Linked DNA regions of Arabidopsis thaliana. The protein of the gene in region 1 interacts with the protein of each later gene in a pairwise test. Each region holds a gene or a part of one and is shown in the gene's direction. Other genes may lie near its edges. The genes, in order: AT5G49400 and AT5G27860.

What was found.
Region 2: the proteins of AT5G49400 (region 1) and AT5G27860 interact in a two-hybrid assay, tested with the Arabidopsis thaliana proteins (one large-scale study listed by BioGRID).

What each region holds. Positions count from the first base shown.
Region 1 is NC_003076.8:20,028,941-20,033,053, forward strand, and holds AT5G49400 (zinc knuckle (CCHC-type) family protein), read left to right. Parts: upstream 1-1,711; 5' UTR 1,712-1,872; intron 1,873-2,209; 5' UTR 2,210-2,213; coding exon 2,214-3,041; 3' UTR 3,042-3,343; downstream 3,344-4,113. Other genes in the region: AT5G49390 (serine/threonine-protein phosphatase 4 regulatory subunit-like protein), read left to right, coding at 17-148, 231-335, 418-884, 976-1,120; AT5G49410 (thiamine-phosphate synthase), read left to right, coding at 3,961-4,113.
Region 2 is NC_003076.8:9,874,025-9,878,591, reverse strand, and holds AT5G27860 (uncharacterized protein), read left to right. Parts: upstream 1-2,091; 5' UTR 2,092-2,149; coding exon 2,150-2,361; intron 2,362-2,737; coding exon 2,738-2,801; intron 2,802-2,884; coding exon 2,885-2,947; intron 2,948-3,146; coding exon 3,147-3,191; intron 3,192-3,273; coding exon 3,274-3,330; intron 3,331-3,431; coding exon 3,432-3,524; 3' UTR 3,525-3,874; downstream 3,875-4,567. Other genes in the region: AT5G27850 (Ribosomal protein L18e/L15 superfamily protein), read right to left, coding at 4,295-4,453, 4,539-4,567.

The sequences.
Region 1 (4,113 bases):
TATTGTTCTATTTCAGAATGATAATGTCCAGAGTTACATTGTTGAGAACAACACGCTGAAACCGATTATCGAAGTTTTTGTTGCTAATCGTCATCGGGACAACCTGATGACTGCTGCTGTGTTGGAGCTTCTTGAGCACATACGCAAGGTTCCTATTATTTCATCCTTTTCTTCACTGTTTCTTTGGGGTGTTCCTCTGTACATAATACATATTACTGTTTTGTGTGCAGGAATATGCAGTGTTGGTCAAATACGTAGGTGATACATTTTGGGACCAGCTAGCTCCATTTGAGAACCTGCGTTCCATCAAGGATTTGAAAACGAAATATGAGAAGGTATCATTCTTCGATCTAACTTCTACTTTGAAAAGTTTTCCTAAACTATTCTTTGTTTAACAATGTGTCAATGTTGTCTTAGGGACCAAAGAGCACCACTGATGATGAATCTGATATGAGACAAGATGGGCGTGCTCTGGATGAAAAAAAGCCAGCTTCTGCTTCCAGTACACAGATGGAAGAAGCTGATCCCCATAATTCCAATGCCACAGCTGCAAGTTCTGCTTCTAGCACACAGATGGAAGATGCTGAGCCCTATAATCCTGATGTCACAGCTGCAAGTTCTACTTGTAGCACACAGATGGAAGTAGCTGAGCCCTATAATCCTGGTGTCACCGCTGCAAGTTCTACTTCTAGCACACAGATGGAAGAAGCTGATCCCTATAATCCTGATGTCACAGCTGCAAGTTCTACTTCTATCACACCGATGGAAGTAGCTGAGCCCTATAATCCTGATGTCACAGCTGCAAGTTCTACTTCTATCACACCGATGGAAGTAGCTGAGCCCTATAATCCTGGTGTCACAGCTGCAAGTTCTGTTTCTCCGAGGTATTTGTTTCTGGTTTCTCTCGATAGAAATTCATTAGAAGCAACAAATATAGTTAATAGATTTGCTTTCTGTTTTCTATTAATCATATAGCAAGAGGTCTGGAGGTTTGGTTGATTATGAGGATGACGAAGATGAGCTAGAGAAGAGTAAAAGACAGAAGCTCAGTTCAACAAGTGAAGGAAATAAGAACACCCCAGAACAAGGTGGTGAAGCTAAGGAACCTGGAGAACTCTAAGGAGCTAATGACGATAGCAATAGTTTAGATGAAGAAATTGACAGCAAGCAGATGTAAAGAGATGTTGAGATTAACATTCTTGACAATAGATAGGATTTTTGAAGAATAGAAGAAACTGTGTATAGAGGGTTAAAATGATGCTTTTGAAGACAACTCGATGATCCGTGTAAATGACTATGCAATTGCATTTTGTAAATGAATCTTGTGTGAAAATGAAATTACAATTTCTTAAAGAGAGACTTGGAGGATTTCATCATACACCCGAGGATTTAAGATAATTTCAGGCAGGTGTTTCTGTGTATATATATCAGATTTTTTTGAAACAGGTAATGGGTTGTTTTTGTTTGTAGATGTCTTGATAATTTCCGTTTCTCTTGATGTCCACATTTACCATTTACCTCTAATTGATATCATCAACTCAAGCGTTTTTACAAACACCAAAAAGCGCCTATTTGCATCATACAGTATAATTAAATAATTCAAAGTTCAAACGATGAAATTTCACACATATTCATATTATTTAATTCAATTTGATATATCTTCATAGAGAAACAATTTGTAATTTTAGGAAAAAAAGGAAATAAAAAAGGAGTGAAGGACTTGAGAGAAAATAAGAAAAGAGTTTGTGAATAATCTTTTGTCTTTCTCTTTCGTCTTCCTCGCTCTAACGCCGCCTTCTCACACTCTCAAATTGGCTCATCCATTCCAAGCACGCTCCTTCGATCTTCCTCTTGGTACGCTCGTTTCTAATTGTAAGTTTTCTTCAACTCCTATTCCAACGTTTGTGTAGATCTTGTATTCGAGCAATTAGATCGATAAACCCTAGTTTCTCCGTGGATATTCTAGCAACTTCCCCTAGATTTCTCCGTATATAATCGTAAGGATTTAGAAATCGAATTATATTGTGATGTTTAGTTAACGAAAACCCAGTTTATTGAATCGTCTCCATCAAGTAGAATCCCTAATCTTAGATCCCCTGCTTAGGGTTTCGAAATTTGTCTATTTTGTTCAGCTTTATACTGATTCTATTTGTCCAATTTTGAAGATTTGATTCTAAGTCTCTAGTATATTCTTTGTTATGCAATGCAGAAACATGTCTAATTCAAAGGACGAGAAATCACAAGATGCAGCTGATAGAATCAAGGCTGCAACACTCACTGCTGCTAAAGGTCTAAGCCGTACACAAGCGGAGAGAGCAGCGGCTGCAGCAGCGAGAAACGTTAACGCTTATGGCCAGAAAGAAGAAGGTCCGAGTAGATGGCAGGAGAAAAGAGAATTAAAGAGGCAGATGTATTTGATGAGTACTGAGAAAGCTGTCAGGCTTGGTGAAAGGAAAGATAAAACAATGTCAGCTTCAGCCGTGGGAAGCAGTGCTTCGGCGGCTTCACAGTGTCAGAAATGTTTCCAAGCTGGGCATTGGACTTATGAGTGTAAGAATGAAAGGGTTTATATCTCGAGGCCTTCGAGAACTCAGCAGCTTAAGAATCCTAAACTGAGAACGAAGCCTTCTGTTGATGATCTTGATGGTAGTGATGATGATGATGAAGAAGAAAGGCCTGATGCAACTAATGGGAAAGCAGAAGTTGAGAAGCGATCTAAGAAGAGTAAGCGAAAGCATAGGTCAAAGTCTGATTCTGAAAGTGATAGTGAAGCCTCTGTGTTTGAAACAGATAGTGATGGCTCATCTGGAGAGAGTAGTTCAGAATACAGTTCATCGTCGGACTCAGAGGACGAAAGGAGGAGGAGAAGAAAGGCCAAGAAGAGCAAGAAGAAGCAAAAGCAGAGGAAAGAAAGGCGAAGAAGGTACAGCTCTTCTTCATCGGAGTCATCTGAGTCAGAATCAGCTTCGGACTCAGATTCTGATGAAGATAGAAGCAGAAGAAAGAAGAAGAGCAAGAGGCACAGCAACAAGCGTCGTTGAATTGGTTTTAGGAAATCGATAAGTGGATGAAAATTTTCATGCCTTAGAATCATTTTAAGCTTCTTAAAGGAAACTCACTGCTATGTTACTTCTTTTTCTTCAAGTTCGATTTTTTCTTTTTGTCAGCCATTTATGGCTTTATGTTGTAACAAACTGATAAATCTTTAGAATCTCCTCAAGTTTTCATAGCTCAATAGCTCCTTGGAGAATGTTGTAAACCTAAACGAAATACCTTTGTGTTGTTATGATAGAGAGATTTTAGTGACTGTTGGTTATAGCATGCATATATTCGAAGGATGGAGGAGGTTTTTTGGCATTCAATGGAAATTATCTATGTACTAGATACTCTGTAACAAAAAAATAATAACCACATCAATCCAATACTAATTGGAAAGTAATCAGTTCAAACAAAATTAAAATCATCCCCTGAAACATACAAATATGTGTAATAAAGTCAAGGGCTTCTTTTGTAAATATCCGTAATTTATCTTCCAGAAATAGTTGCATTAATTATCTCTGTGACTCTGTCCCCAGTCTCCTTCCTCACAGACTGATCCCTCTCTCTCCCAAAGTTGCATTAAGTTTTAAACTAGTACAAAGTCTAAGCTTGGAGCTTCCACTTTGTGTTCTCCTTGAAAAGTTTTTACCTTTTTTCAATCTCTGTTGTTGATACACCTGTAAAGCTCATATTGCACACAAAGTGTTCGATAAAATGCCTAGCCGAAACAAAAATTGCATATAACTGGTTTGTTTCTCACTCTCTATCCCTCAACTTCTTGAATTTTTTTTCGTAGGAATTCTCTAGAGGTGTTATTTAGGAACATAACGGTTTAATCGTCTCCATTTCGTTGGTACTTTAATCATAACAGTTTTGGTTTTGTGATCTTCATTTATAGCTTCTGAGAAAACAAGTGAAAGTATGTTACGGAACATGATGATGCCTTGGAACAGTAGCGATCACAATGTAGTTGGAATGTTAACAAGGCATTTCGCCACAAAACCAAAACCCAAGATGAAACCGATTGAGCTGAACACACCACCGGAGCAAACTCAGACGATAACCCGAGTGATC
Region 2 (4,567 bases), about 10 Mb from region 1:
AGTAAGTAATAGACTCATGCAGCAATAACATTGTCATAGGATTCTAGAGATGAATATGAGGTATTTGGTTGTCATTGTTTAGCTAAAAAATTAGCAAAAACATTAAATGTAAAATTCGTTAAAAGCATTTAGTTGTCCGATGAATAGCAAAAAAAAATATTATTATTAAGAGAGGGATTTATTAATACGAACTAAAATAATACTATAAATATAGCTATTTAGCTTAACTAAAGTGACTTCCACTTCCTGCGATTAACAATTCCCATAAAAAATATGTCATTGTAATTCTTGGAAACACTTTTGTATACCAAAAGACCAAGGAGAATATTCCATGATGAAGCGTTTAACTTGATCACATGTTATCATCGTCATTAGCTCAAATCTTCAAAGATCTAAAAGTACTACATCTCTTATGACTCAAACTTGGCAATCACTATGTATAGTATATATTCTGATTTAGCCACTACACTTAGACGTATATGCTTGCTTTGCTTTAGTTTAGGTTGAACCTGATGTTATTGTGTATGATTAGAAATTTTGGATCATGTATGTCCCTTGCTTGGATCAACATACATAACTTCTTTACAAAAGCTAATCAACGAATAGAAATCTGTTTAAAAAAAATGATTTGGTCACCTAAGTCACCAAAATTCGGTCAAAGATCTTAAGAGAACCCCACAGTTAAGAGTGTTTGGATGGAATAATTTCAGGATAGGTGACCTTCCTGAATAATTTGTAGGGCCAATAACAAATCTTTAAAACTTCTTAGAACGTGACACGACCGCCCAACAGTGGTGTGTCCATATATTCGAGAAGACGTGAGATCCACTGGTAGGAATTAGAGCAGCAGCAATGGTGGTATCTATTGTGAGTCCCTTATAATAAAAATAATTAAAAAGTGAGGGACAGAGGAGAGAGGGGCTCCAAAAACCCTTATTTAAGGAACAGTCTCAACACCAAATATATACATGTAGCTTTTTTAGTAGTCAAACTCTATTAAAAAATTAAAATATAATAACAACATTAGAATATATTTTTTTATTTTTTTTTTAGGGACTCTCATAGTCCCTCCCGTTGGAGGTGGTCTTACAAGTTGTCTTCGGAAAAAAAAAGTTAAAGAACAGAAAATTGATGTTTTCGTAGTAAAAGAAAAAATATATATACTAAATGACCTTTGACTGCAAGAATGAAGTAAATAACTATGGTTGAAAATTATGAGAGAGGAAAACACTTTTAGACACAATATATGACATTTTTATCCTCAACCACACATGATCTTACCTTCTTCTTCTTTCTTGCTTGCAAACTTCCCCTTCCATCGCATATCAACAACATACTTCTCTATTCTTTCTCTCACCAACACAAATCTCTCTCTCTCTCCAACAAATTTTCTCGCCAATATTTCTGAATTTTCTTTATACGTATGCCGTCGACGAATCTCTCCACCCATCTCCTTCTAGTTCTCCCTCCTCTATCACGAATCTCTTCATTTCTTTGAAACTTTCAACCTTTGTTGTTTATTTGTCCACTGGATCTCATATTATTAATACTCCATGCTATTTAACAAAGTCACATATAATATTTGTCTAACAAAACCCCATGAAATATGTAAATATTTATCATGTTATCCAATAAAAACCCATGTAATTTTGTAACAATTCTATATATTTGCTAATATTTCGTGTTTTATAAGAGAATTGCATGCATTTTATAAATATATCATACTATTTCAGAAAAACACATTATTTTAGAAAAATATATATATAGTGTATATATATCGTTTATGTATTTAAAAGAATTACATAATTTTTGTAAATATATCATGCTATTTTAAACAAATACATATAAACTTTATAACTAAAGCTAATGCTATTTTCTGACACAAGATCATTCTCTCAATTCTTTTCCATTTCATAGTTAGTTTGTAATATTACCCTAAAAGAAAAAAGAAAAGGGCAAAAACCCTAAAAATTCAATAAAACGGTAATAGCAATCAACTCCTTAATCTCTTAATGATTTATAAAACGTACCGAAACAAAACTTAATTATTATAACTAGCCCCTATAGTTATTTTAAATAAATATCTGTCTAATAAATTTGACCAAACCCTTAAGATCTAATTTTCTCTGTTTGATTTGTCCTCTCAACAATGGCGGCTTCATCATCTTCGTCTTCCTCCGACGTCTCCTCTGATTCTTCAGACTCTCATCGTCGCCGTAAGGATCGCCGTCATCATCGTAGAAACGATCGAGACAGAGACTCGCTCAAAGTACGGAAAAAGAGCCGATCCACCTCGAAAAAACGCCGTAGACGCCAACACTCCTCCGATTCCTCTGATTCTTCTTACTCCGATTCCTCCAGGTCCGTTGATTTCTCGTCAACTTCTCTCGCCCAATTTTACGATTGAAAACCCTAATTTTCCCGTTTGGTTTCATTTCTGGATCGGAGCACTTGATTTCACATTTTGATTTTGTTCTTTGAATGTTAGGGTTAGGGTTTGGTTACATGGAAACTGGATAAGATTATCGTTAGTGGAACTCTAAAGATTGATTTAAGCAGAATCTAGCTTGTGTTTCTTGTTTGGTTTCACATTTTGAATTTGTTCGTCGAATGTTAGGGTTTAGGGTTTGATTTGATGGAACTGGATTAGAATCTCGTTAGTGGAACTGGATTAATTGATTGATGTAAATAGAAACTAGAGAAAACTAAGAGTGTGATATTTGCGTTTTTGTCTCAGTGAGAGCTCAGATAGTGAGCATGAGAAGTCACGAAGGCACAAGAAGCATGAAAAGCCAAAGAAGGTTACTTTCTGTACTCAATTCTTAATCATGTGAAGTTTCTCTGTTATAGTGTTTAGCTTAAAAGTACCATTTTTTGTTTAAAGGCTAAGGATAAGGAACGAAGCAAGAGTCATCGTCATAAACGGCATAAGAACAGAGAAAGAAAGGTTGGCCATTATTTTCTCATTACGCTTTGAATAGATTCTCATCAAGATAACAAGTTTCTTATAATACTTCTTTTGCCTTTCTCTGTGGCCTCTTCGAAATTGGAGCTGGGGTTGGTGACATGATAAACTGGGGACTTTGTGTTATCTTCGTTTTGTTTGTGTTTATCTTTTTGGTCCTGGCAATGTGAGTGTTGTATAGAAAGGGGAAGGAGAAGGAAGTAGCGGGCCTGTAAAACTATCAAAGGTACTATAGCTATATATACCCATAAAGATCTAAAGTTTATATGAAGTCCATGTTTTATGATTCAGTTTCTTTCATGATTCAGTTTTTGAACCGCGACAAAGACGATGGTGAACGTAGAAGTGCTGTTTCAGGGAAAAAAGTTAGTCTGAGACTCTCTTTAGGGTTGTCTAATATTACACCCTACACAACTATTTTCTGTTTTCTTTTCTCACTTCCTTCTTCTGATGTGTTTGGCTATAGATTCTGCTGAAGGTTGACAAGTCCAAAGAGGACAAAGCTGCAGAGAGCAAAAGAAATGAACTGCTTAAGTTCTTAAACGCAAGTTTCGACTAGTATTTTTCGCTTTTGTCTCGATGACAGAATCTCAACAACAAGAAGAATGTAAGATGGTATTTGATTAGATTCTAGTTTCCGTATCTGTTTGGTGATTCAGATCCTTGTTTTGTTTTTCCAGAGGACTAATCCTGTCATGGATTTGTTTTACTTCTATTTTCTTGTTTAGTCTTAAAGTTTGTGTTATCGCACACTGTTCTTCTTGGAAACCCGAGAAATGGTTACTGAGATTTTATCCGTGCGTACATTAAAACCATTTCCAACTTGCAAGATTCAGTATGGAACTTTCGAGCCATCTCCTGTTACCATGGAGCTGTGTTCCAATGTTGTTGGATTACATCCACTTGTGCTGAGAAGACTTGATGCGTTCTTATTTGACAAGCTTCATTATGATTATGGATATACGATTTTTGCTAGAACCTAATAGACAACGAATTAGGTGGGTTAGTACGAAACAGAACATTTTTCAGGGTTGTTTACACATTTTAATACTCATGTACAGATATTTTATTTCCAAGGAAGAGAAATACAAAACGAAATAGACCATAATGATACTATGAACTCCAAATACTGATCAAATCCAAATTCTAGATAAAATCTCATTGCAGCTAATAGTAGTAAGATTAAAAGACAAAGCAAAATATCCAATTGTCTTGAGAATAGAAAAACAGAACTTAAAACAAAGTCTGGAACAGGGTAAAGAGGAACCAGCGTTCCCTACCAAAACTTCGATACTTAAACCAAGCAAAACGAAACCAGAAAACATCTTCTTAGACCTTGAATCCACGACTCTTTCGCTTTCCTCTAGCTTTCTCAAACTTCCTTCCCTTATGCCTAACATATGGCTTAGTGTTACTGTGTGGCACACCAGGAGCAGGTCCGAAATGCTTCACTGCTTCACGCGAGTTCTTTGGTCCTCTAAGAAGAACCTGTCACAACATATCAAACACAGCTCAGTTTCATATATAAACTTGAATTATCCTAAACATTCAGATAGTGTAAAATTTTACTTACTGTGTTCTGTCCCAATGGAGCTCTGAGAG